5 linked regions of the Oryctolagus cuniculus genome follow. The protein of the gene in region 1 interacts with the protein of each later gene in a biochemical or structural test. Links are inferred from orthologs where the notes say so. Each region holds a gene or a part of one and is shown in the gene's direction. Other genes may lie near its edges.

The links.
Region 2: of the proteins of AURKA (region 1) and OTUD7B, one has a biochemical effect on the other in vitro, tested with the Homo sapiens proteins (2 studies listed by BioGRID, with this or other methods). The link is inferred for Oryctolagus cuniculus from reciprocal best matches to the Homo sapiens genes AURKA and OTUD7B.
Region 3: the proteins of AURKA (region 1) and INCENP form a complex in vitro, tested with the Homo sapiens proteins (3 studies listed by BioGRID and IntAct, with this or other methods). The link is inferred for Oryctolagus cuniculus from reciprocal best matches to the Homo sapiens genes AURKA and INCENP.
Region 4: of the proteins of AURKA (region 1) and NIN, one has a biochemical effect on the other in vitro, tested with the Homo sapiens proteins (2 studies listed by BioGRID). The link is inferred for Oryctolagus cuniculus from reciprocal best matches to the Homo sapiens genes AURKA and NIN.
Region 5: the proteins of AURKA (region 1) and USP21 form a complex in vitro, tested with the Homo sapiens proteins (2 studies listed by BioGRID, with this or other methods). The link is inferred for Oryctolagus cuniculus from reciprocal best matches to the Homo sapiens genes AURKA and USP21.

The regions. Positions count from the first base shown.
Region 1 is NC_091442.1:5,227,038-5,230,550, forward strand, and holds part of AURKA (aurora kinase A), read left to right. Parts: intron 1-1,645; coding exon 1,646-1,700; intron 1,701-2,622; coding exon 2,623-2,814; intron 2,815-3,513. UniProt on the Homo sapiens protein: Mitotic serine/threonine kinase that contributes to the regulation of cell cycle progression.
Region 2 is NC_091438.1:47,945,299-47,949,292, forward strand, and holds the start of OTUD7B (OTU domain-containing protein 7B), read left to right. Parts: upstream 1-1,181; 5' UTR 1,182-1,502; intron 1,503-3,994. UniProt on the Homo sapiens protein: Negative regulator of the non-canonical NF-kappa-B pathway that acts by mediating deubiquitination of TRAF3, an inhibitor of the NF-kappa-B pathway, thereby acting as a negative regulator of B-cell responses.
Region 3 is NC_091432.1:10,130,416-10,133,928, reverse strand, and holds part of INCENP (inner centromere protein), read left to right. Parts: intron 1-237; coding exon 238-289; intron 290-645; coding exon 646-763; intron 764-831; coding exon 832-966; intron 967-1,440; coding exon 1,441-1,452; intron 1,453-3,513. UniProt on the Homo sapiens protein: Component of the chromosomal passenger complex (CPC), a complex that acts as a key regulator of mitosis.
Region 4 is NC_091443.1:25,352,308-25,356,334, forward strand, and holds the start of NIN (ninein), read left to right. Parts: upstream 1-1,225; 5' UTR 1,226-1,411; intron 1,412-1,799; exon of another isoform or gene 1,800-1,933; intron 1,934-4,027. UniProt on the Homo sapiens protein: Centrosomal protein required in the positioning and anchorage of the microtubule minus-end in epithelial cells. May also act as a centrosome maturation factor.
Region 5 is NC_091438.1:37,627,682-37,631,197, reverse strand, and holds the end of USP21 (ubiquitin carboxyl-terminal hydrolase 21), read left to right. Parts: coding exon 1-70; intron 71-234; coding exon 235-390; intron 391-867; coding exon 868-932; intron 933-1,186; coding exon 1,187-1,290; intron 1,291-1,481; coding exon 1,482-1,568; intron 1,569-1,838; coding exon 1,839-1,917; intron 1,918-2,137; coding exon 2,138-2,245; intron 2,246-2,324; coding exon 2,325-2,439; intron 2,440-2,641; coding exon 2,642-2,732; 3' UTR 2,733-3,014; downstream 3,015-3,516. UniProt on the Homo sapiens protein: Deubiquitinates histone H2A, a specific tag for epigenetic transcriptional repression, thereby acting as a coactivator.

The DNA.
Region 1 (3,513 bases):
TGTGGCCCGGGAATGCAGAGGAGGATGGCCCAGGTCCTTGGGCCCTGCACCCCATGGGAGACCAGGATAAGCACCTGGCTCCTGGCTTCGGATCAGTGCGGTGCGCCGGCTGCAGTGTGGGCCACAGCAGAGAGCTGGCCTGGAAGAGGGGCAACTGGGACAGAATCCAGCGCTCCGACCGGGACTAGAACCCAGTGTGCCGGCGCCGCAAGGCGGAGGATTAGCCTAGTGAGCTGCGGCGCCGACTGCTCCACTTCTGATCCAGCTCTCTGTTAATGCACCTCTGAAAGCAGAGGAAGATAGTCCCAAGTGCTTGGGCCCCTGCACCCCTGTGGGAGGCCAGGAAGAAGATGCCTGGCTTCGGCTCTGCCCAGTTCTGGCCATTGGAGCCATCTGGGGAGTGAACCAGCAGATGGAAGATCTCTCTCTTTCTCTAACTCTGCCTTTCAACTAATTTTTTTTTCCTTAAAAAAAAAACAAAAACAAAAACGGCTGTCTTGCTGCGTGGGTATAAAGTTCTCCCGCGGCAGCCTGAGATTGCTTTTAGAAATGGGCATTCCAGGCCAGCACCGCGGCTCACTAGGCTAATCTTCTGCCTGTGGCGCTGGCACACCGGGTTCTACTCCCGGTCGGGGCACCAGATTCTGTCCCGGTTGCCCCTCTTCCAGTCCAGCTCTCTGCTGTGGCCCAGGAATGCAGTGGAGGATGGCCCAAGTGCTTGGGCCCTGTACCTGCATGGGAGACCAGGAGAAGCTCCTGGCTTCGGATCAGCACCGGCCGCAATGGCCATTGAGGGGTGAACCAACGGCAAAGGAAGACCTTTCTCTCTCTCTCTCACTGTCCACTCTGCTTGTCAAAAAAAAATAAAATAAAATAAAATAAATAAAAAAATAAAAAAGAAATGGGCATTTCTTTGAGAACAGGACAGCCCTTCTGGCTGCTCCCAGCTCCGCTGTCTCCTGAAGTAACCAGCTTAAATCACGCCAAAGAAGTCTACACTGGGTGGCACCTTCTCGTTTCTTGCAGTTACATTTGGGGCTGTGTGTCCTGTGCCGTAATAGTGGTTGTAACTGAGTCGGTGAACCATGCATGGAAATAACAGAAACCGGCTTGGACCTGCGGTCTAATACCTGAGCCGAGCGTGCTGACTGTGGTCAGGGCCCCAAGTGTCTGGGATGGGCAAGTGGAGATGTGCCGTGGGATGTCCTGTGGCTGAGGAGGCAGTTGCTCCAGTCCTCTGTCGCACAACTGGTTTATTGGGCATTTGCTGAGTGGGTGCCTTGGTGCTTCTGCTCTGTTACCTGTTCTGGGGCACTTGCTGTAGTCTGTACGTGGCTGGCTCACTCCGTGAGGGAAGTTGACAGGTGGTAGCTTGTCGGGCTGGAAGTGGCTTCAGAGAGGGTCTGTGGGGTCTTGGGTGTGTTGCCCCTTTCCTCTGGAACCCTGTGGACTTCATGTGGGAGTCAGGTAAGGGTGTAGCAGTCTTCTTGCTGTGAGAAAACTAAAAGCCCAGATTATTCCTTCTTGGCATACTGCTTATATTTTAGTTAACATTTTCACAGCCATTCTTTGATTCATTTGTATCCATGACTTTCTGATTGTATGTAGTTATTCTAAAAACAGGTTTCAAACTTATTCCATATAGGAAATAATCCTGAAAAGGAACTGACATCAAACCAGAAAAATGAAGAATCTAAAAAGTAAGCTTTTTTGTTTACAAAGCTCTGTGTTCATTTACTAGAGTGCATCGTTTCATTTTAAATTTAGTTAATTTTCTAGATTCCCAATCTTTAAAAAAAGAATGAATTTTAATTGATATTTAGGGACTGAGATGTTTCTCTTAAGTTGCTTTTCAAATTTAGAAAAAAACTTGGATGAATCTGTTAGAGTAACGGTGCTGTCTGCTTCTAGAAGGAAGTGGCTAATACCCAGGGTTTATGTGTGCCTCCATGCTTTAATTCCATTCCTATGCAGTGTGCAGGCCTTAAACTGTGTCCTGTAGCAGTCTGTACAGATTCTGACAGCGTAAGTAAGATTGTACTTGCTCTTTAGCAGAGGTTGGCGCGAGCGTCTTTCCCAGGTGTTCCCAGTAGACAGCCTGCGTTCTCTGAACTGTCTGGACTCTACAATGAGGGGAGAAGCCAGACTTTCTTGCATTGAGCTCCCTGGGAAGCTTTGGAACCTCGGTTCTGTGGCTGTCCTGCCCCATCTGTCCTGTGGAGTCCAGCCTGCTTTTGTTCATGGCAGTGGGTCCATGTCTGCTCCGAATGGTTCTGCACACACGGTGTCAGCCTCTCAGGGTGGCAGCTGGCGCTCCACAGAGGGCCGGGAAGCCTTCTTCCCTCGCCAGTTACCCTGTTACGTGGTCTTTGTGTTGTTAGGTCTGTACTGCTGTGCATAGGACAGCCTGGAGCATTTCCCAATGTAAAATCCAAATTCTTGCCTTGTCACTGATTCAGTGATGGCGGCTGAGGATGCCACGTTTAATGTTTGTGACTCAATAATGGTTATTGGCTTGGTTTTTGCTGAGGGTGCATGTTGGGTGCAGTTCTGAGTATAAAATTGTAGAATGTGTCTAAAGGTTGGTTTTCCACATTTTAAAATGTTGAATTTCCTTTCTAGAAGGCAGTGGACTTTGGAAGATTTTGACATTGGTCGTCCACTGGGTAAAGGAAAGTTTGGTAATGTTTATTTGGCAAGAGAGAAACAAAGCAAGTTTATCCTGGCCCTCAAAGTGTTATTTAAAGCTCAGCTGGAGAAAGCAGGCGTGGAGCATCAGCTCCGAAGGGAAGTGGAAATCCAGTCCCACCTGCGGTGAGTGCATGAGATCGGGCTGCCGGCCTGTCAGCTTGAGAGGGCCAAGCGTGTAGGCCACAAAGACTGAGTCCTGGTGTCGTTTTTCACAGATGCGGTAGACGTACATGCAGCAGTGCTGAACATCTCCTGAGGGCTTAGTGCTCTCAGTGAGGTCAAATATGTGTGCAAACGTTTGGGGACAGATAATTAAGGGGGATGGCACTTTTTATTCTAGGTTAAGCACAGGTTGCAAACTGGCAGCCTGCAGATGACATGGGTCAGTGGGGTGGGAGTGTGTGTGTATTGTTTTTGCTTTTATTGCATTTTAAGTATGAATCAGATGCTAATATTTAAAATCCGGCCACATCAGGCCAATACCTTCTGCTGCCAGCACTGGCTAGGGGCAAGCATGTCTGCTGTTTGGGATGGGCTGTGCGCCCCCGGGTCCACACTGAGCCTGGCCAGCCTGTTTAGTGCACCTCTGGCCATTGTGTGCATGGTGCCACACCACTGTGGGATGCCATGTCTTTTTGATATGCAGAAATTGGTATTCCACGGAGCTTCCCTTAGGAGTAAAAATGCCTACAAGAAAGAAGGAATGGTCTCTCTTTTTTAAGATATATTTACTTATTTGAAAGTCAGAGTTACACAGAGAAGGATAGGCAGAGAGAGAGAGGTCTTGTATCCAATGGCTCACTCCCCAGTTGGCCGCAATGG
Region 2 (3,994 bases), on another chromosome or scaffold:
CTGCCATGTACACATTCATTTAACACATGTGGAAGGTCTGAGAGGCAGGAATGGCTTTATTTATGTTCTCATAACCATGCCACATTATAATTTTTACAGCACATATGTGAGTTCTGCCTTATACAATACTGTTTTATGTACTTTACTAAATTGTAAGATCTTAGATATCTGGGATTATGTCTGTTGATTTTTCTATTCTCAGTATCACTGAGCACAATGTCTGGCACAGAGTAGGGACTCAATAAGTATCTGAATTGAATTATGCTCTAATGTTGTAAAAAGCTTTACAAACAAAAATGCGGCATAACTTTAAAAAATGTTTATTTATTTCCATCTCCTTGAAGGCAGAGAGAGAGAGAGAGAGAGATCGATCTTCCATCTGCTGGTTCACTCCCCAAAGGGCTGCAACAGAAAGGGCTGGGCCAAGGCAAAATCAGGGACCTGGAACTCCATCTGGGTCTCCCCCAGTGTGATGGCAGGGACCTAAGCGCTTGCATCATCGGCTCTGCCTCCCGGGGTTGTGCATAAGCACGAAGGTGGATCAGAGAGGGTAGCCAGGACTCCAGCCAGGCGCTCTGGTATGGGATGTGGGCATCAGAAACAGCAGTTTAACTGGCTGGCTGCCAAGTCCGGCCCCAACCTAACTTGTTTGGATTATGCCTAACAGTCTAAGGCAGACGTGTCAATAACCATTAGGCTAGTAAACAAATACCAAGTATTTACTGAGAAGGGTAGTCCACTTCAAGAGTGAAGTAGCAAGGGACATGCACAACCAGCCGGAGCCCGGTCTGAAAGAAGCGTTCATTTTCCTCTGGTCAGTCCAGAACAGCTGTGTAGGTGAACCAGAATTTCAGTCTCCTCGTTCTAAAGTACTTTCGTACCTCTCACCTTTCCAGAACCACCCCACCCCTTTCCGCTCCTTGCCAAAGGGCTGGGGCCAACTAATTCTGCCCCGAAGTCTCAAGAATCCACCCGGTCCACCCCCTCCCTCCCCCCAGCTCCGGTTCAAGAATGCTCCAGACCACGGGCATTAGGAACGCGGGCCTGGAAAACACGGGGTCACGCGCGGGGCAAGCGCCAAACCGGCCGCAGCTCCGGGAGCGGCGCTGAAGGCGGGGCTGCTACGGGGCGGGGCGGGAGGAGGCCCGGGGGCGGCTTGGGTGTCACCACCAACCCGCTCCGGCCGGAAACTGGCGCTTGTTTCCGGCCGGACGGCCGAAAGCCACCGATCCTGAACCAGCCGCCGGAGTCGGAGTGGCGACCGGGTGTGGAGCAGGCAAAAAGCCACAGAGGGAGGCCAATCCCGATCAGTCCCGTCTGGCTTCAGCTCCAGGTCCTGTGTGGAGCAACAGCCCCGGTCGCAGTGTCCGCCGCCGCCTCCGCCTCCATCGTCGTCGGGGGAGGGGCCGGTCGGACCCGGGGGTCACTGCCGAGGAATGAGGAGAGGCGGCCGGGCCCCGTGCTCCGCCCCGGCCTAGGGCCTTGCCCCGGGAGTCGCGAGGGTAACGGAGCCCCCCGCCCCGACCCCTTTCCCGTCCGCTCCCGCCCCTCCCGCCTCTTCCGACTCCCAAACTCTGCCCCTCTGATCGCCACTGTCCCCCTGCTGCTTTCTGATTGTATCTCACCCGAAGCCATCTCTCCCGGGCACCCCCTCCTCGCCCTGGCCGCTCCTCGCTTCGTCCCAACCTCTTCTCCTTTGCGCCTCCCTTCCACCTGCGTCCCGCGTGTCTGGCCACCCTCCCCGGTTCCTGGCCTCCCCTCCTGAGCTGTGCGGGGCGGTGTGGACGGTCCCCTCTTGTCAGCTAGACTTTCGGGGAGGGATGGCGGAGTTTGTGAGGTGGCTACCGTGCGGGCTCCTAGCCCCCTGGTAGGATAAAAGTTCATCTTAACGTCTCAGTATAAAAGTCAAACGAAAAGACAACAAGCTTGTTCTCCCTGTGGGTAGCCAAACTGAGGTGCGTCCAGTAATGGAGGAAGGGAGCGAAAAAGGTGTGTGTGTGTGTGTGTGTGTGGTGCGCGCGCCTGAGAGATTCTAGGGCACGCTTGTGAACTTTAGAAAAAGGCAAAGTTGCCGTGAGCCGATGGAAACTTTAGAAGCTGATGATGAGTAAGCCGGGGGCTGCGTGATCTCACCCTTCTCATAATTACTAGGTTAACGGTGTGGCTCCGTTCGGGATGGAATGGGATTTGTTTACTGGGCCGGCGTATTTTTAGCTTGTCGGCTCAAAAGGAGCTGCGTTCCGAGGCGCGCGCTCCCCCCTCCTGGTACAGTCTGTCCGCCTAACCTAGGTGGCTTCTCTGGGCGCAATGCACATGTAAAATTTTGAAAGTTAAAGGGAGCTGACAAGGGAAACTGTAAAAATGTTTTCATGTAAAAGGGTTCCTTCCCCCGTCCCCCAATTTTCACAGTTTTCTTTTCATGAATGTAAAGCCAAGGATTAGCAGTCCTTTGGCTTTTTTTTCTCCTGAACTTTTAATAAATACTATAGGAATGCTTTATTTAAAAAATCAGAGGCTGGTCTTTAGCTTCTTGTACTGTTTGGGAGATCTTTGAGGCGTTTGAGTCTCTTTGTCTTTTAGAACCTGTTTCATAGGTGGGAAGGGACAGTGGAGAGAACAGGTGGTAAATCTAGTCCAACAGGGTGACTAATCCCAGTAGTTGAAGGACAGACAGACACACACAGCCAAACATCTTCCATCTGCTTGTTCACTCCCCAAATGCTGGCAACAGCATTCAGGCTGAAACCAGGAGTCTGGAACTCAGTCTGAGTCGCCTATGTGGGTGGCAGGGGCTCAGGCACTTGAGAAATCACCTATTACCTATTGCACATTAGCTAGAGACTGGGACAGAGGACTGGTAGTCTATTGATATTCTGAAAGCTGAACTGCACTGTAAAATAATTGAAATGCATGTTGCTCATCTTCAGGCTGAATAGCAGTCTGTTCTAATTTCCACTATCAACTGGCCTGACTTGGAGCACCTCCCCACCTAAGTGGCCAGTTGCTATGTACTTAGAGATTGCAAGTGCGTACAAATATTAGCTCATGCTAGGGATAATTGAGAAGGTAAATATACGCAAAACATATATTCCAAAACCAAAATAGATTTTGTTTAGATTTTTCCCCGTTTTGGATTATCAGCACCTTTTTGCCAATAATTATCCATTAGCATGAATAATTTAGAATTGAACAGATATCTGCTTTGGACATTATGCATCCAAATAGGGAAGACAGAAGGAAGATAGTTTCCAAACTGTCACTAATTTTTGTTGTTGTTGCCTGATTTGACTTGCTCCTTTCATTTAATATCAAAGACTCTCTTAGAAGAAAAACAGTGCAAAACTTTGCCAAAGAAAGGACTGTGCGCTGACTTGCTGACTTGTGTAAGGCAGGATAAGCAGTAATGAATGCTAATTGTTAGTTGGACTTTGGTGGCCATAGGTCACCAACAATTTGAAATTTTCCCAAAGCTAATTAAATCTCTTTGTTTTGAGATCTCTTATTGAAAAAAGATTTAATTTGGAGAATAAAATCTAATTTTAAGAGTCACAATACCTTCCCAGATCTGGTGACTGTCAGTGATTGCTTTAGCTGTGTGAATTGGATGATATATAGATAATTTGTATTTATAACTGTATATACCAACTTTTCTTTAGTTGAACTGCATATATTATTCTAGGGTGTGGAAATTGAAGAGTTTGAATATACTGAAGAATAACTAGAGCAGCCCAGTAGCTATCACTATTCCATGTTTTTAAAAAATATTTAATTTTTTATTTTTAATTGAAAGACAGAGTTACAGAGAGAGGGAAAGACAGATCTTCCATCTGCTGGTTTACTCCCCAGATGGCCACAACAGCTGGGGCTGGTCCAGGCCGAAGCCAGGAGCTTCTTCCAGGTCTCCCACATGAGTGCAAGGGCCCAAGCACTTGAACCATCCTCTACTGCTTTCCTAGACACATTAGCAGGGAGCTAGATGGGAAGCGGAGCAGCC
Region 3 (3,513 bases), on another chromosome or scaffold:
GGGTGAGGGGACTGGGCTGGGGAGAGCGTGCTGGGCTCTGAACACCCCTGGGTTCCTCAAGGCCATCAGTGCGGAGACTGATGCGTCTGCTGCTGGCTACCCTGGGGGCTGCCAGTAAGGGAGCTGCGCCCCCACCAATGCTGCTGCCACTGGTGGGCACCTCTCTAATTCCTCCACGGCCCCCCCCCCCCCCCCACCGCCATTCCTGCAGCCCCGCTGAAATTGCTCTCTCCACAGAGGCCACGGCTGACCAAGCAGATGAACCCAGAGAGCCACCTCAGAGCGTCAGGTTTGCATCTGGGAGGGGGCATGCAGGCACGAACCTGGGTCCTGGCTCAGGGAGGGCGGGTGTGTGGTTGAGGCTCTGTGGCCTCTTGCTGGGGCGTAGCCTGGTGCTGATGCTGCAGGTGAGTGCTGGCGTGGGAGTCAGTGACCAGAGCGTTGGCCACATCCCTCTGACCTGCTGGCTGTGTGACCTCAGATCAGCCACCTCCCTACCCCTGGGCAGCAGCGGGTGCAGCCCCTTTTAGTAGCAAGCCCTACGGCCTGGGCCTGGTTCTTCACCGGGGCCAGCTTTTTGGGGAGTGGCTGGGCTGCAGTGGTCAGCCCTGTGACCCCACGCTGCTGCTCCCTGCACCTCGACAGGAGGAAACGCAGCTACAAGCAGGCCATGTGTGAGCTGGATGAGGAGCAGCACCTGGAGGACGAGGAGCTGCAGCCCCCCAGGAGCAAGACCCCTTCCCCGCCCTGCCCCGCCAGCAAGGTGAGCCAGGCTTCTCCCCCACTCAGGGTCCGCCCCACCTGCCGAGACCTGACCTTGCTGGTCTGCAGGTGGTGCGGCCTCTCCGGACCTTCCTGCACACAGTGCAGAGGAACCAGATGCTCATGACCCCGACCTCGGCCTCGCGCAGCAGCGTCATGAAGTCCTTCATCAAGCGCAACACTCCCCTGCGTGTGGACCCCAAGGTGAGTGGGCCCCCGCCCCACAGCTGGCACGAGGCTGCTGTGAATAGCATGGGTTGGGGTAGAGGAGGGCATGGCCTGGCCCTGGTCAAGGGCCAGCTTTAGCCATGTGGCCGCGGGCAGCCCTGTATTTTGGGGACACTGTCCTGGGCTGCAGTCATAGCCCAGGGGCTGGGCCAGTTGGTGTGAGCTGGGTCTCAGGCCCTGTGCTGGGAAGGTGCAGGATTGGCTAAGCAGACCCCCTGCATTGCCCACCGATCCCCCCAGTCTTAGTGGGGAGAGAGGCACACGTGTTCGCCTTCACTTTAGGGGACAATTTGGGGGGGTGTGTGAGCTGAGATGAGGAAGGAGGTCCTGAGAGGGTGTGAGCCCCGGGCAGACCCACTGGCCCAGCTGGCGTGTGGTCTGCCTTGCAGGACGACCCCCAGCCTGGCATTAACTCTTGGCTTTCTCCTTGTCTCCTCTTCTCCTCCACAGAGCAGCTTTGTCGTAAGTAAAGCCTCTTCCTGTCCTGTGACTGAGCTCCACCGGGTGCTTTCCCGCCATAGCCCTGTTACATAACTGATGCACTGTAGAAACGCTAACATCGTGCTGGGAGGTGGGGGTGGCTGGCTGGAGATACCGCAGTTTGGGGGCCGCGTGTCCTCCCTCTGCAGAGCCCGTCCCCTCTGCCTGTAACACTGCTCCCAGAGGGAGGCGAGCAAGGGTGTGACCTGCGGTGTTTCCTCCCTGCCCCTCTCTAGCACTGGGTCCCTCTGGGGTCTGTGAAGAGAACAGACAACTTTCTGGGATTTCTAGAGCCACTGGGCCTGAGTGCAGCCCGGAGGTGCAGAGGGAGGGGGCAGGGCAGGGCAGGGCAGGGCAGGGCAGGTCTGACTACACTGTGCTTGGAGTCTGGGTCTTGCTGTGTGGGTGGCAGTGGAGCTGTCAGCCGTGGCTTCTGGAAACCTGGCTGCAGAAGCTGCTCTCTTCTCAGACACCTCAGGGCCTCTGTCTGCTCCTGTCTACTTCTCCTGGTCCTTTCCGGGGTTTTCGTGAATATTTTCACCGTTCCATTCTAACTTGTCTGTTGTGATTTTGACCAAATGACATCTAGCACTTTAGAGTCATTTAGTGGTTGTTCTAGTGTTCCATACTCAGCCCTTCATGGTATCGAGAGTCCGTGCTGTTCAGCTGGAGTGCAGAACCCAGCACCACACCTGCCCCTTTACTGTCCCCCACTGTGTGCTGTGATAGTCTAAGACATCACTTCTACCGATGGTCACTGCCATGTTAGACGTGTTGTAATTTTTCTTTCAGTTGTAGAATTGTAGAACGATTAGGGCACAGGCGTTTGCCTAGTGGTTGGGATGCCTCACTCACGTCAGAGCGCCTGGGTTCAGTACTTGGCTCTGCTCCTGACTCCGCGTCCTGCTGATGCACACCCTGGGAGGCTCCAGTGACTGTGCTCCTGCCTCTGGATGGCAGACCTGGACTGTGTCCCGGGCTCCCCGTTTTGGCTTCAGTCTGGCTGAATCCTGGCTGTTGTGGGTATTTGGGGGAGTCAACCAGCACATGAGAACTCTGTCTGCCCCACCCCCCCCCTGAATTAATGACCAATTGAACAAAAAGGGAAAAGAGTACAAGGCTACTCTATTATATTTCTTCAAGTCTTCACTTCTGTCGCTCCGCCTTTGTTCCTGGTGTTTTAAGCGTTTCCTTCTGGTATCGTTTTTCTTCTCCCTGAGGCACTTCCTGTAGCAATTCTTTTGGAACAGGTTGGCTGGCAGCTGATTCTCTAGTTTCCTTTCATCTGAAGATTGCTGGTTCCCGTTTTCTTTCCGCAGAATATGCCACTGGATATAAAGTTCTTTTGTTTCTGCACTTTATTTTTATTTATTTATTTGTTTTTTTTTTTTTTAAGATTTATTTATTATCTTATTTGAAAGTCAGTTACACAAGGAGAGAAGGAGAGGCAGGGAGAGAGAGAGAGAGAGAGAGAGAGAGAGAGAGAGAGAGAGAGAGAGAGAGAGAGAGGTCTTCCATCCACTGGTTTGCTTCCCACTTGGCTGCAAAGGCCGAAGCTGTGCCGATCTGAAGCCAGGAGCCAGGAGCTTCTTCCAGGTCTCCCACAGGGGTACAGGGGCCCAAGGACTTGGGCCATCTTCTACTGCTTTCCCAGGCCACAGCAGAGAGCTGGATTGGAAGTGGAGCAGCTGGAGTGCTTCAGGCCAGGGTGTTAACCCTCTGCGCCACAGTGCTGGCCCCTCTTTCCGCACTTTAAAAAGTCCCCTGGCCTCGGTGATTTCTGATGGGAAATCTACTCTGAGCTGCTTGTCCTTTTTCTCTGGTGGCTTTTGGCATTTTCCTTTGTCTTTAATGTGTCTGGTGTTGGATTTCTTAGGGTTTATTGTGTTTGTGGTTTGCTGACCTTGAATCATAGGTCTCTGTGTTTCATCAGATTGAGACTTTTTTAGCTGTTATTTCTTGAAATGTTCTTTTCAGCATCACCCTTTGTCCTGTTCTGGGATGCAGTGCCAAGCGTGTAGACCTTTTGGTGGTGTCTCCCAG
Region 4 (4,027 bases), on another chromosome or scaffold:
TGCTTCCCCAAGGGAAAATGATCAATTCCTCAGGGACAAAGACCAAAGTTGTTGTTTTAAAATTCCTTTATTTATTTCAAAGGCAGAATGACACAGAGAGAGAGAGAGTTTAGTGATTAAGATGCTGCTTGGCACACCATATCCCATGTCAGTGCCTGGGTTCTAGTCCTGGCTCCTCCATTTCCAGTCCAGCTTCCTCTGGGAGGCAGCAGGTGCTGGCTCAAGTGCTTGGGTCCCTGGCACCCAAGCACCCAAGTTCTGAGCGTCTGGCTTCAATGTGGCCCAGCTCCAGCTGCTGCAGGCTGTTAGGGAGTGAACCAGGTCAAATAAGACTTTTTTTTTTTCCCCAAAAAGGCGAGAGCAGCCTGAAGCTGTCGTCTTAACTCTCCTGGCACACTCTATTGAGAGAAGAGAGGTTGAGTTTTTTAAAATAGGACTGATCTGCTTAAAAAAAAAATTTTTTTTTTGTAAATTTGAGACAACTGTAGATCCACATCAAGGTATAAGAAACAAAGCAGTGACATCGACGAGACACTTCACCCAGTTCTCCCCAGTGGTAGCAGTTTGCATAACTGTACCAGGGCGTCGCGAACAGGAACCTGGCAGGGCTACGATCCGCCGGCCTTATTCCACCACCCCCACCCCCGGGTTCACATCCTTTCATTCCCGTGAGTGTGTATTTCAGTCCGTTCAATTTTGCCATGAACGTGAGCTGCTTTTGAACCCCAGTTCTGCCAAGCACGTCCTTGCTGTGTGACCCAGAGCAAGCTCGTTGACTTCCGGGAGACGCAGCTTTATCCCAGGGCTGCCTCCGCAGGGCGATGTGGGGGTGTGAGGGTGAGGTCAGCTCGCTTCTGCCTCCAGCACCCCGGATTTCCCTAAACCCAGGTTTCCATGCTGGGTCCGAGGCCGGGCCCTGCAGCCGCAGCGGGGCTTTCTCCGGTCTCCTGCGAAAATAACGGACTCGCGGGCTGTGATAAAGCTCGCGAACCCTTCTGCACGGGCCTCACGCTTAACCCCGCAGCTCCGGAGGCCCGAGAGCGTGACCCGCGGACCCCTGCCGCCGCGCCGCCCGCCCGGCGCTCGGGACCCGCTTTGATGGCGCTGGGCGCAGGGGCGGAGGGAAGGGGGAGCGAGAATGCTGGGACGTTGGGGGAGCGAGTGGAGTAGCGGCAGGCGGAGGCGGTCCACACTGAGATACCGCTGGCCCGTGAGCCACAGACCCCCCGGAGGCTGCGCCGCGGGCAGGTGCGGCGGCCCGGCTAGACCCGGTGGGAGGCTCGCGCGCTCTCCAGGGCTCGGGGCTAGACCCTCCAGGAAATCCAGGTCCCGCCTCCAGGACCCTTCCAGGAAATCCAGGGACCGTAAAAAGCCCCCCCTCCCATCTCAAGGTCCCGCCGGCGGAGACGAGGTATGCCCCGCGTCGGCGGGGATGAGGAAGGTGGGAGATCAGGGATGCGGGGTACGTGCGGGAGCCTCTGCCAGCACAGGCAGACAGGCGGGGTTGGGGTTTGGGGGACGAGCCCGCCTCGTCCCGCGGCGACCTCGGGGGCGCACGCCTCCTCTACCCGCAGCCCGAGCCCGGGCGTCTCCAAGTTCAGCTGTCGGAGGCGGGGGCTCGGAGGGGGGCGAAGCATCCGGGAGGGCCCGGGCGGCGCCTCCCGCTCCTCCCTCGGCCGCTGGAGCCGCGCGAGCCGCGGAGGAGGAGCCGCGCCCCGGCCGGCGTCGCCCTGACTCCTCCTCCTCCTCCTCCTCCCCGCGCGGGCCCAGCGCTTCCTCCCCGGCGTGCAGAGCTCGGGGTGCCCGCGGCGGAGCCGGGAGCCGAGCGCGCTGGGCGCGGCCGTCCCGCCGCTGCAGCCGCCGCCGCCAAGCCCCAGTGCGCCCGCGGCCATGGTCCCCGCAGCGGCGCCGGGCGCCTAAGCCCCGGGACGCGGTAAGCTGGGCGCCCACCCCGGGGCCCCGGGCCGCGGCCTGGGGAGCGCGGAGGCCTCTTGCGCCGGGGGTGGCCGCGCACAGGGACCGGGGAGCTCCGGGGACCAGGCTGGGCGGGGACGGGTCTGGCGGGGGCTGCCGGAGGCCCCGGGAGCCGCGCTTTTGTGAGCGCTGCCCGTTACATGTAGAAACGACGCCCGCGCCGGTCTCGATGCGCGTCCTTTTGAAGGACGCGCGCCCGGAGCCGCGGCGCAGGCTGCTAAGTATTGTCCCGCGTCCCGGGCCCTAACAAAGCGTCCTCCCCGGCTCTGCACAGCGCCCGGCGCCGCCGGAGGCCCGCGGAAGGTAGGCTGCGGCCGGCGTGAGCACGCCGGGGTGGCCGCGCAGGTTGCCAGGGACGCGGGGGGCATTCGCGCCTCCCCCGGCTGCCCCCGTAGCGTCGCCCCGGGCCCCGCCGGCATCCCCGGTCTGAAGCTGCCGTGGTTGGCGGGGTGGGAGGGCGTGCACGGGGCAAACCTGGATGCCCAGGAGCTCGGAGGGTGGCAGTCGCGGAGGCGTGCGCCCCCGGGGCAGCCCGGCGCAGGAGCCGCCGCCGAGGGAACCCTGGGTGTCCGCTTGCACCGTCGGAGGGTGGAGGGGGAGCGCGAATGCGACTTTGCCAGCGTCATGCCGGGGGCCGGGGCGGGGGTGGGGTGGGGGGTGTGCGAGAACACGGAAAGCCCCGGCCGCCACACTTGCGGGCTGGGAGTGTGCAGCTTCGGGAGCGGAAGCTGCTGGGGTCCCCGGGTGGGCCCCGCAAGGGGATAGCTGCGCGGGTAGTCGCCGCCGCTTTACAGCTCTTCCTGTGAAATTGAAAGAGAGCGAGACAGAAAGAGGCGACTTCCCAGCCTCCGCCTGACAACCCGGGGTTCAGGTGGAAGTAAAGTGGGGGCTTGTCCCGCCCGGGGGCGGTGAGTCCAGGCGGGTGGGATACGGTGACGTCTTGCGCTCGCTTCGCCCAACGGAGCCAGAGCCCCCGGGGTTCAGGAGGCTGCGGGCTGGGCCGTCCCGCCCGGCTCCTGACTGCGTTAAGTCGGCACACATTGCTGGGACTCCCAGCCAAGTCCGTGGGGGCGCGGGAGCCGAGCCCCTGGGTACCCGGCAGCGGCCAGCAGGGTCCCTGCAGGTACTGTGACATCTGAGGCTTTTCCAGCGCCAAGGGATTGGCTTCCTCCTCCTCCTCTTCTCTCCCCCTTCCCCTTTAGCTAAAGGTTCTCTAATGATGAGCGTATTAGCTTGGCGAGTGACCCGGGTTATGGGGTTGATCCTTGCTCTAGAGTTGAAGGGAGCTGTGAAAATGGCCAGGCTGCAGAGACAGGCACAGCACAGGCCGGCTGAGAATGGAGTCTGGGGTCTCCTCCGCCCATGGCATTGTCCTCCCGGAGGTGATGCGAATGGCGGGGGTAGCTCGTGTGTAGAATCTCACCTGTGCTCTCAGCGTTTCTGCGGCGGAAGCCCGCTAAACTGCAGGGTAGAGAAAGCAAACGGGTCGGACAGCAGCACAGAGACGGGCTTGGGGTGGGGGTGAGGTTGGGGGGCGGCAGAGAGAAAGCCGCCCTCAGCGTGGCCTTGGCATTGAAATGTCAGGAATCGGTTGTGTTTATAGGCACTTGTTCAGAACGACCTGCGTTTCTTTTTTCTTGTTCCTTTTTTTTTTTTTTCCATTTTTTATATGTAATGACCCTGAGTATCAAAAGATGCTGTCACACACACGGAGAATAGGGCGCCAATGAATTCTTAACAGGTGATCTTAATTTAGCAGCCAATATTATGGGTCAGATGTTGAAATAGCATGTTTTAAATGTCACTGCAAATGACTTTCTAAACTAATGTTTCACCAGTCTTGATGCTTCCAGTTTATGTTGATAATGAAAATGCATTTTATCAGTCTTACGTGGATACAGGGCTGGTAGGTTTAGCTAGAGTGTTTGAGAGACATTCATTAGCCTAAAGCCATTTGAGGAGGCTTATTTTTGTAGCTTCCAATTCATTTGTAAGCCAATAAATAATGCAGCTTGAATTCTGGCTATTTAGTTTGCATCTGTTCCACAGGGCC
Region 5 (3,516 bases), on another chromosome or scaffold:
GCGAAGCTGTGAACCCTACTCGATTCCGAGCCGTCTTCCAGAAATACGTTCCCTCCTTCTCTGGATACAGGTGGGAGAGTCTGGCCATGTCTGAGGGTGAGGCCAGGTGGGGGCCTGGGCAGTATTGTTCTGGGCCTGGAGGTGTTTTTATCCTGCAAGTGGGGACCCCATCTGGGCAGGGCTAGTGTCTGGATGAGGACGGATCGTGGCCCACACTCTCTCGTCTGGCTGTAGCCAGCAGGATGCCCAAGAGTTCCTGAAGCTCCTCATGGAGCGACTACACCTTGAAATCAACCGACGAGGCCGCCGGGCTCCCCCGATCCTGGCCAACGGTCCAGCTCCCTCTCCACCCTGCCGAGGAGGGGCGCTGCTAGAGGAGCCTGAGTTAAGGTAAGGGCCCGTCCCTGCCCTCGTACCCCCGGGAGTTCCGCAGCGACATGCAGCCTTCACAGAACCCTGCTAGTCCAGACTGAAGTGGCAGGGGCTGGGAAACCCTTTAGTGTACAAAATGGTTTAAGAAGCAGTGCAGAAGTGAAAGGAAGGACGTGGGGGAGGAAGACTGAGGGGTGCAGATGGAGGCAGAAGATATGCTGGGGACGTCACTCAGGAGGGAGGGGACAGTTTATAACAGAGCTCCTTAGAAGGGTTTGAAGCTAGGTGGAGGGAGACAGCCTGTTCCCTTGTGTACATTTTCCTTTCACCTTGGATTTCCCCCAGAAGTCCCTTGAAGCATGACTCCTTTGACTTTTCCTGGAAGTCCAGGGGAGGAGCTGGGTTGTGGGTGGCGTGCAGGGCTCTGTGGTGTTGGGGGTTCCCAGTGCTCCTGCTGCCTCACGGGTGCTCCCCACTTCCCCTGATCTGTGGTAGTGACGATGACCGAGCCAACCTAATGTGGAAACGTTACCTGGAGCGAGAGGACAGCAAGATTGTGGGTATGGAATGGGGGGAAAATGTGGGAACACGAGTGGGGGTGGGGGAGGGGTACACAGGCTTCAGAGGAAAGAAAAGCTGGCATTGTCAGGGGGGTGAGAGCAGGACCGGGTGATGGAAACCAGAAATAGCGTGGGGAGTTTGTTTGGAGTGTTGGTGGTGGGAACGGACCCGGCCAGGGAAGAGGCGGGTATCAGAGAAAGCTTGTCAGGCCCCCAACAGTGACTCGTTCTTCTGTCCCTTTGCTTCTGTCCAGACCTGTTTGTGGGCCAGTTGAAAAGTTGTCTCAAGTGCCAGGCCTGTGGGTATCGCTCCACGACCTTCGAGGTTTTTTGTGACCTGTCCCTGCCCATCCCCAAGGTGGGATTCCAGAGGATGCCAGGGGTGGATGGGACGGGGGTTCTGTGACCCGGCCCTAGCCACCTCCAGAGTGCGGGCGGGACTCCTGTGGGTCTCTGGAGCGGAACTGACGCTGGACTGATTGAGAAGAATCCGAAAAGGAAATGGAGACCACACTGACCCTCCCTTCCCTGTTGCCCCCTGCTCTGCAGAAAGGATTTGCTGGGGGCAAGGTGTCTCTGCGGGATTGTTTCAGCCTTTTCACCAAGGAAGAAGAGCTAGAATTGGAGAACGCCCCAGTATGTGGGGGTTCACAAGGGATGTAACAAGGGTGGGACAGGAGGGGGCCTCCTGGGGAAAAGGGACCGCGAGATGCCTTAGTGTGGGAAGAACTCACATGTCTGGGCTTGTGTTGGAGCCTCTGGTACACGGCCTGGTGCTCCTAGGGCAAGGGGGTGCGGCCGGGGTTACGGCAGCAACGGGGAGCACACCACATTTGAGAGTGGACTGCGCTGGAGCCGCCTGGGGGGAGGAGCGCATCAACCTAACACCATTTGGCGTTTATTCAGGTGTGTGACCGGTGTCGGCAGAAAACGCGGAGTACCAAAAAGCTGACAGTGCAGAGGTTCCCCCGAATCCTCGTGCTCCGTATCCTAATCCTCAGTTTCTTATTTCTCTTAGGCTATCTCCCCTGCGTTCTCTTGCAGAGGCTGGCCACGGGGAGCTGAGGTCTCCTTAGGAAAAGCCTAACCCCCAGCCTTCCTTCCAGGGCGCCCAGTATGGGTCGGGGGAGGGGAGAGGACACTATTCAGGCCCAGTCCCCTCTAGAGATCCCCCCGCCTCCCAATGCTCCTTAACCAGGGCTTAGATCTGAATCGATTTTCCACCTCCCGAGGCTCCATCAAGAAAAGTTCAGTAGGTGTAGACTTCCCGCTGCAGCGACTGAGCCTAGGGGACTTTGCCAGTGACAAAGCCGGTGAGTCTGGTGGGGAAGGCCCCATGGAACCCTGAGAAGGGGGCACTGCACTGTTCTAAGGAGTTCTCCAACCCCTCAGGAAGCCCTGTATACCAGCTGTATGCCCTTTGCAACCACTCGGGCAGCGTCCACTATGGCCACTACACAGCCCTGTGCCGGTGCCAGACTGGTTGGCATGTCTACAATGACTCTCGGTGAGAACAGCCTCCTCTTGACTCCCGCCCGTTCCTGCTGCAGCCCTGACACCCTGCCGTGAGGCCCACGGGAGCAGAGTGCCTGGGGACAGGCGAGCTGGGGTCTCTCCTGAGCGCTCCCTGGATGCCCTGGGGTTGTCTAGTGGGGAGGAGGGACTCTACAAGGCTGGTGACAAGCCTCTCTCCCCATCTCCCTTCCTAGTGTCTCCCCTGTCAGTGAAAACCAGGTGGCATCCAGTGAGGGCTACGTGCTGTTCTACCAACTGATGCAGGAGCCGCCCCGGTGCCTGTGACGGTCCCTTTAAGCCCTGGCACCTGTGAAACCCTTTCAACACCCTTCAGCCCCAGGCTTCCCATTTACCTCAGAGACGTCTATTTTTGTGTCTTTTTAATCAGGGAGGGGGGGAGGGGGTGGCTGTAGCTCCCGTTATTTTTTTTATTAAAAAGTACCCTTCCAACCTGGAGGCTCCCTTGTCTCCCAGCCCCCTGTACAGAGCTCACCAGGCCCCGGCCCATGTACAGCCCCCAGACCCTCTGCAAACTCACTTTTTTGTGAATAAATTTATTAAGAAAAAGTGATGTCCATAGTTGCATTTGTGCCTAGTGGATGGAGGTGAATGAATTGGGCCCGGGGATCTTGTTGGGACCCAGTTCTCTCTCTGAACAGATGGGGGGAGGGGGTGCTCAAAGTCCAAGGGGAAGGGTCGCGGGGTGGGGGCGGGGGGCGTGGACCCGGACATGTGTGCCTGAGCAGTGAAGGTTTTGTATTGGAAGAAGGAAAACTCCGAGGAGGCCAGAAAAGGGAATGCAGGCACTGGGGCCGCGGGTTTCGCCGGCCATGGGGGCTGCCCCTGGAGGGCGAGACACCCAAGAACCCCTGTTGACAAACATAGTACGTTGCCGGGCGGCCCTAGCTCCCGTAGGCCCCATCTGTTGCTAACATCAAGAAGCTGTTTGTGGAGCCGCCTCCCCGCGGACTGCCTCCAGTGTCTCCATCTATTTTCCCTACAACCAAACCTCACGAGGCCCTGCCTCCAGGGCTCTCGCCCTTATCTGGGCCTGGGACGCCTGAACTGG